Caenorhabditis elegans: one gene and its partner. The protein of the gene in region 2 interacts with the protein of the main gene of each other region in a pairwise test. Each region holds a gene or a part of one and is shown on either strand. Other genes may lie near its edges.

What was found.
Region 1: the proteins of rpt-3 (region 2) and gst-23 interact in a two-hybrid assay, tested with the Caenorhabditis elegans proteins (one large-scale study listed by BioGRID).

The regions. Positions count from the first base shown.
Region 1 is NC_003283.11:3,241,144-3,245,007, reverse strand, and holds gst-23 (Glutathione S-transferase), read right to left. Parts: upstream 1,725-3,864; 5' UTR 1,714-1,724; coding exon 1,579-1,713; intron 1,537-1,578; coding exon 1,449-1,536; intron 972-1,448; coding exon 568-971; 3' UTR 506-567; downstream 1-505. Other genes in the region: srj-7 (Serpentine Receptor, class J), read right to left, coding at 1-5; srj-11 (Serpentine Receptor, class J), read right to left, coding at 2,372-2,638, 2,693-2,881, 2,932-3,136, 3,188-3,294, 3,336-3,584.
Region 2 is NC_003281.10:6,487,667-6,491,807, reverse strand, and holds rpt-3 (putative 26S proteasome regulatory subunit 6B), read right to left. Parts: upstream 2,016-4,141; 5' UTR 2,010-2,015; coding exon 1,295-2,009; intron 1,246-1,294; coding exon 1,121-1,245; intron 1,035-1,120; coding exon 630-1,034; 3' UTR 526-629; downstream 1-525. Other genes in the region: srb-11 (Serpentine receptor class beta-11), read left to right, coding at 1-200, 246-440; Chitin binding domain containing chtb-2, read right to left, coding at 2,933-3,064, 3,112-3,273, 3,320-3,460, 3,508-3,682, 3,849-4,058, 4,102-4,141. UniProt on the Caenorhabditis elegans protein: The 26S proteasome is involved in the ATP-dependent degradation of ubiquitinated proteins. The regulatory (or ATPase) complex confers ATP dependency and substrate specificity to the 26S complex.

The DNA of each region.
Region 1 (3,864 bases), on a different chromosome or scaffold from region 2:
ATCATAGTTGTATTGAAAAATAATGGGATCTTCTCGATGAAGAGATGTAGAAGTGTTTTCCCCTCTTGTTTTTCTTATAAATGCCGAGTTCTCGTAAAATAGTATACTCCTTTGGGGTTGGGGCACTATGTGTTTTGTGACTTGAATATTTGTCTGCTATGGTAACTCCGTTTTTGCAAAGGAACACACTGAAAAGGGTCGAAAAAGTCCTCCATGTGTGATAGCGTCATTGAGCAGACTTGAGGTGGGTGTTATCTGTATTCTCCAGGGTCTGATTCATAAACAGCACCTGTATTAATTTTCAAACAACGTTTTACTCCTACTACATTGGTTTTTCGTGTCAGGACCCAATGTTTTATATGCAGTAGGTTATCGTGAAACCTATAGACTTTGATAAGTTAATTCAAAAAACTTTAAAAAAATTTAATTTTTAAGTACTCGAAATTTTGATAGCTCATTTTTTGAAAATGGTTTCACAGTTGAGTTTTGCTTTTTGAAACAATAGTTATTTGAAACAAGTTTTATTAGTATTGCAAAATTAATTTAACACAAAAAAATCCGAAAGTTTTATTGTTTCCCATTTCCACTGACGAATGGATTTAGTTCGGCCCGTTTATTCAAATACAGTCTCATATTGGGCCGCTCTGCAAATCGTCCATGAAATCTTTTCAGTGCTGGGGTGCCATTTAGAGCAGTTGGTGTGAGGATGAGGTGAATATCGAGAAGCTCGAATAGAGCATAATCTGCATAGCTCAGCTTGTCCCCGGACACAAAGTTTTCGCCGTTGTTAAATGTGCAGAACAACTTCTCAATTCGTAGTAGCTCCCCGGGAAGAGTTTCAGTTATGTATGCTTCTTTGCCATCTTCGTAGTCTGTCTTGATCATTGTGAAATATTTGGTGCGTAGATCGCGGAGCCCTTCGGAGAACATATCGATGAATGAGGTCTCTGATTCAGTGGAGCCATTGAGTCCTGAGAAATTTTAGATGTTGTTTTTTTTTCTTTTTGTATTGAATTTTAAATAAGATTTGCAAAATGTTAACTCAACAGCCGGGAAAACAATTGTTAATATATTTTTCGTTATTTTCTCCAACTGATATTTTGAGATCAAAAAAAAATTGTAATCAAAAACGCATTAAGTCAGCCTAGAAGAGCTAACTATAAAGCCAAAAGTTTAAAACAATTTATTGACTAATTTGACGACGTTTAGAATTGCTCCAAAAGACTACTTTTAGATAATTTTTATACGATTTCGGATGTATACATTCTGCAAGTTTTTTTGAAAATTTTTATTTTGAGAAAATCAAAAAAATTTTCACTCAAAAAAAACGATTTTTTCAAAACAAAACATTTATCAAAACAATTAATAAGCAATTTGACAGGCTTTTTCTTTTTCATCAATTCGAATGAATTTTTTATTTCAAAACTGTAAATTTTCTGATTGCTCACCATAAATCCGTCCAAGATGACGAAGAATCGCTGCTGACTGGACAATCGTTTCAGTTCCGATATGAAGACACGGCAATTGAGCGAAAATCTGGAAAATTCTACTTTTATAGTTTCAAAAATTATGAATCACCATGGTTGACTTCATTTCGGCCCACTCTTCTCGGCTGATACGGTTATCTTCAAATGGGATTTCCTGGTCATTGAGCAAGAGCCGAATGGGCTCCGCGAGCCCACGAATGTCAAAGTATGTGAGCTTGAGTGTCATCGAAGTGGTCTATAAATTAGAAAAACCAAATTAGAAAAACGTAAATTTTATGATTCCGGTAAATTTGAAAAAATAAAACTTTTGAGAATTTGGGAAAACATAAATGCAAAAATATTATAATAGAGGGCAACTATACGAATTCATACATGTGTTGTTGTATTTTCGGCAATAAAAACCGAAAATATAATCGGGTTAGGGGTGTGACGCGATTGTGAACTGTAAATTAGTAAGGTTTATGTGTTGATTTTAAATTTCTATACGGTTTTTTCCTGTAATTGATCAAAAATAATCCCATCGACAAGAATTCTCCAAACTTGACAAAATAATTTTCTAGAACTATCATCCCAACTCAAACTTAACGACATTGTTATAAAAGTGCTAAGTTGTTCAAAAAGTTACAGTACTAAATTGAGAATAATTTGTTTTTAAAAACCAAAAAAAAACGAAGAAAGTGTAAGCTGTCTGCAAACTTGGTAAGAAAAGAGGGACACGTTGAAAATGTCCGCAGGCTATTGAAAAAATCTATAAAGCAAACATGTATTTCGAGAAATGCAAATAAAACTCTTTCACATTGATTAAAAAAGAACGTTGCGAAAAATATTTATGGAAAAAAATAAGAAATTTTATAACAACTTGGACAACACTTTTCCTCAAACTTTCAATAAACTTGAGCTGAATTATCCACGTTGGGTCGGACAGTCGATGTTCCAGAATAAAAGTATTTGATTGGCATTTTCACAGTGCGAAAAAGCTTGTTCCGGTAGTTGGGTAGGAGGAAAATGATAGCAAGTGGATCTAGAACAGGGAACGCTGACAGTGCAATGACGCCCAAATAATTGTTCCACATTCCGAGATCCAATCCGATTACAGGACCGTACCAGGCCATCATGCAAGGGGAGAAGCTGATGCAGATCGGGATGAAAGTCTGAAAATGTTTAGTTAAACAATTTTTTTCTGAACTCTTTAAAAACATGTATACCTGAACTGCAAGGGCTTTGAATAACTGTCTATGCAATTTCTGAGTCGTTGCAGAAACCCCTGGATTATCCGCCAGCTTTTTCATAATCTTCCATCCAAGAATAACGTATAGAGAAATTGCATATATCGAAATTCCAGTCAGCAGCAGAATTCCAATCCAGCTTCTTCTTTTGATCTCGGGACTTGCATCCTAAAATTTTAAGGGGTTAGTGTTGGTTCTTTGCTCTTTTCGAGCCTCACGAAAAACAATGCCATTAGCATGGATAAATCATGTGAATCCACATGGTAATCTTTTTGAAAAGCGTCATAGATGTAGTCGAACACTTCTTGATCTCCATAGAGACACATCTCGCAGACAGAACTCCAAGCTATTCCGTGAAAAACAAAAAATACAAAGAGACCAAATAGCCCGGACGGCCGGAGAAGTCGATCGATTATTCGGGTGCTATAATTTTTAAATTTTCGGATTTACGTGAAAAATAAAAATAAAACTCACTTAAATAGCACAAGATACCGATAGATAAAGTGAATGACAAGGATTCCATATGAAAGAGAAATACACCCACATCGAATTGAGACAGCTAGTTGGCCAAGCTTCCCAGTCTGAAGTTCAATCATTTGGTGTGTAGAGCTTTCAAACTCACCCCAAAAAATGGTCCGTCAGCTAGGTAAATCACAAAAGCTGCCCCAGTACCATGAATTGCTACGGGAACGATTAGCTCTACAGTTGAGTAAGCCATATCAAAAATTGCAAACCCTATCAAAAGATATCGATACTTCCCGATCGAAGCCTTCTTTTCGGTGGCTATCAAGCAAATGAAAATTGGATTACACACGAATGACAAAATTCCAAACAATTTTGGAAGGTAATGGTGAGACCAGTGGATATACATAGTCCGTCTGAATTTCTTTCTGAAATTGTGAATATTCAGATTGTGTTAATAATTTATAAAGCAGATTGTATCTGAATCAGAAAAAGTGTGAAGGAATACTAATTGTATTTGTTTTCGAGCCCTACGCAGATATGCAATAGGATTAACAATCATTTAGGTAATGTGCTCGGGACTTAGATTGGTTCAAAAAGTCTAAATGAGTAATAATGTAGGATTGGTAAAACGCTTGGAAGACCAGAATCAAGATGAAAATACAAAAAAGCCTAATGAGTCAACCTGC
Region 2 (4,141 bases):
AATTGAAAAATTCTTCACTTGCTGTAAAATATCAACTGGAAGAAGTCTATCAATCCACTAAATTTTCCGTATTTCTTATTTTAATTCATATTATTTCATTCGGGATTTATGTATCTGCTGTGGTATTTTTTCGATATTTCGGAAATCTGATAATTTCAGACCCCGACTCTTTATTCGGAGTCAGAACTTTTTCGACAACAGTGATGAATGAAAATTAAGAAAACACGATGAATAAAAAATTTCAGATAGTTCCTACATATAATTTCGTTATTGGAAGCTTCTCAAGTTTTTTTAACCGAATAAAATTGAAGAAGTCTGAGGGAGCAACTATTCAAATGTCTTCAACTGGAAAATCTGGAGCTAACAATTACGATCAAGCCATTTTTAGTATTTGGAACTCAGTTTCTGGACCAATCGACAGGAATGTTACATTAGTTTGAACTTATACCTACTATTATACTTACACCTACTGTTAATCTTGATTTTTTCACCAGAATGAATGTATGAAGATTTTGAACGTTCGGTGAAGAGCAAATTGTTTATGCGAGACACGGTGTAAATACAATAAATTATAGTAAAAATATGGTTCACAGGACGAACTGGAGGGTCATCGGAGAGTAACTCGTGGTTTACTTGTAGAACTCGAAATCGTTGGTATCCTTCTTCACAACATTCTTGTAGGCCTTCTCAAGATCCTTGGTAAGCACAACGTAACGATTCTCACGAACGGCTTGCATACCAGCTTCTTGACAGATAGAGTTGATATCAGCTCCTGAAATCTTGTCTGGACGAGCAACCCAGTCTTCCAAATCAACATCATCCGACAGGTTCATACGAGAGCAGACGGTTGAGAATACGAGACGCTTTTGACGACGATCTGGCAATGGGAACTCAATCTTACGATCGAGACGACCTGGACGAAGAAGTGCAGGATCGAGAGTATCCTGTCGATTAGTGGCCATGATAACTTTCACATTAGTGCTTTGATCAAAACCGTCCATTTGATTGAGCAATTCGAGAAGAATACGTTGAACCTGGAAAAATACCACTTGTTTAACAAAACTTTTTTCTAGGGACCTAAAATTCGGAGAAAAAACTATCAATCTCGAAGTAATCTTACCTCACGATCTGCTCCGGTTTGAGCATCGAAACGTTTCGTAGCAATCGCGTCAATTTCATCGATAAAAATAATAGATGGGCTGTTTTCCTTTGCCAGACGGAAGACGTCACGCACCATTCGTGGTCCTAAAAGACTAAAAGTTACAATAATGGTGTTTTAAAACTTGATAATTACCTTCTCCAAGATATTTCTGTACAAACTCAGATCCAACAACGCGAATGAAGGAAGCAGCAGTATTTGCAGCAACAGCCTTCGCCAACATAGTCTTTCCACATCCTGGTGGTCCATACATGAGAACTCCTCTTGGGGGGTCAATTCCGATTTGTTGATAAAGTTCTCCATGAGTCAATGGAAGTTCGACAGCTTCTCTGACTTCTTGCTTCTGCATATCAAGACCTCCAATATCTCCATAAGAGATGTCAGGTTTCTCATCAGGACGAAGCATTTGAATGGAGCTGTCAGCCTCTGGTGGAAGAACATCAACAAGTGCGTTTGAATATTTATGAAGGGCCACCGAACATCCTGGCTTAAGCAGCTCACGATCCAAAATCGATAGAACACGGACATAATAGTTGGATCCGGTGGTGCTTCCAACGATAGCATGGTTTTGGTCCACAGCTTCCAGGAATTGTCCAATGACAAGTGGCACAGATTGAATACGCTTCACTTCTTCCTGAGCATGAAGCAATTCTTTTTCAAGGTTTCTTGTCTCCAGCTTGATATAGTCCTCCATAACTTGAAGATGCGCCAGTTGACGTTCCAGCGTTGTAAGCTTGATATAGTCGTCTGATGATACATCAACGCAGGTGGCTGGAAGTGGTGGCGGACGGAGAGAAGTATTCTCCTGTAATGGAGCAATACCGATTTCCTCCAAAGCAGCGGCAGACATGTTCCTAGAAATGAAAATTTAACGTTGTTGCAAAAAAATAGTTTCAGAAAATGTAACCACGGAACAGAATTATTTTCATGAAAAAGAAACGTCAAACTGCTATTTCGAAATATTTTTGTTTTAATTAATCAGCTTTACGAATCTGAACAGTACAAAAGCGTTTTTCATCCGAATAGTCATGAAAAAAACAGAAACGAAAATATGTCGTGCGTTTGTACTAATACATCGAACTACAATGTTTCGTTACCTCCTACGATGTGGTTTCAACTTACTTTTATTTCTTCTATTTGGGTGCATGCTAATATTTTTGAAGTATAACGCAATTGCGCGCAAGATATATGAAGACAAAATAAATTTACCCTATTACGAAGCTCAGAAAACAAACAGCTCAACTTTTAAACAACGCACATTTTCCATTTAAACTTTGAAATACTTTAGACACGTAACCAATAAGTACCGAAAACTTTAATACTAAACAAAACACTTAAATTTGTCACTTTATTATTGATTAAACGAATGGAGATCATATTATCACAAGTGGGGAACAGAAAGACTTTCGAAAACTAGGTAGAATGTGGAAAAATGAAAAAGGAAAGCAAATTTTGAGAAAAAAGAAAATGGCGGTGAAAAACATTTAAAAAAATATTTTGAGAAATCATCATCCGCAAATGTGCGTGACGGTGTTTGCAGTATTTGCGTACCCGACACCCAATTTGACGACAAAAAGAAATAAAGATTTTTAGCGAACAGAAATTCACAAAAATAAAAACTGCGAGCGACAAATACTTAATTGTTCTAAATAATTCACTAATTTTTAATTGTCATTGTATTAATTTTCTGAAAATTCACCATGAGGCTCGCAGTTTTCATTTTTACAAATTAAAATAATACAATTCTGCAAATAAATTATTTTAAAATTATAATTAATTTTTTTTCGTAATATTATCGCTATTTGATGACTTTAGCCGATCAATTGTTTCTTTTCGTAGCTTCTCATCGTTTTTTTGATCAGCCAATAAACGATCCAAGAACTGTTCAGTTTGGTTCAGAGCGATCTGAAATTGGAGAAATAAGAATCTCAATTTTTTAATAAAATATTTACCTTTTTAAGCACAGGCTTGACTACACTTCCAAGTGATTGAGCTCCAGAGTTTTCATCGTGCATTTTAAAATTGAGTGATGGCAACATTCGACTTAAAAAATCTGGCTGAACACGTGGAAATAGTGGATGTATGTGGGAAAGATCAATTTCGGATTTTATGCTCTGAAAAATAAAGTTGTAAATACAGAATCTGTTAAATGTTCAGTACATTAGTTGATAGTGAGTTCTGGCTTTGAGAAATTTGATAGGAAACTGGAACATTCGAATTTGGAGCAATTGTTGGAGTTGGAGCAATTGGTCGAACAACTTGATGATTATGTCCTCCACTAACCACACTTCCATGAATGTGCTACAAGATGAGAATTTAAAAAATATTTTTGAAGTTAAATTATGTACATTTTGGTATTGTTGAGCATAGGTTTTTTCAGCTGTCGCTAATTCTGGAATCTTTGGAAGCAAATCCTTTGGGAACTGATCAATAGTACTGTAGATTTGAGGTTGGTGAGTTTCCGGGACAGGCGGATAAACTCGTGGCGGGGATATATGAGTTGGGAGTTGATGGTCAATCACTCTGAAAATCCAAAAAGTCATGGCAATCGATTTGAAGTTGGAAAAACAGTTTTCGAAAAAAATGCTTTGAAAAATTTGCTATCTGTTGTTTCTCGGATCAATTTGATGAGCTGCTACGAGTTTTCCAATTATTTATAAAATTTAAATAACTTCTATCAAAAACTAACCTATTACCCTTCCACTCAACAAATGAAGTCTCCGAAGGTAGTCTTGGAATCACGACTCGATTGTCTGGATCATATGGTTTACGAGTTTCTTCTCCCTTTTCACATCTTCCAATTGATACAATAAATATCAAAGTATCTGGACAATATCTTTCAGTCCATCTTCCCAACCTACCGTACAATGGAGCACATTGAAGATACATTGATGGAGATCTAAAATAAAATGTTGATATTTCTTCTGAAAAGGAGCCCTTACCTTGGATGAGCACAGAACGAATCAACGTCATATTTCAGTT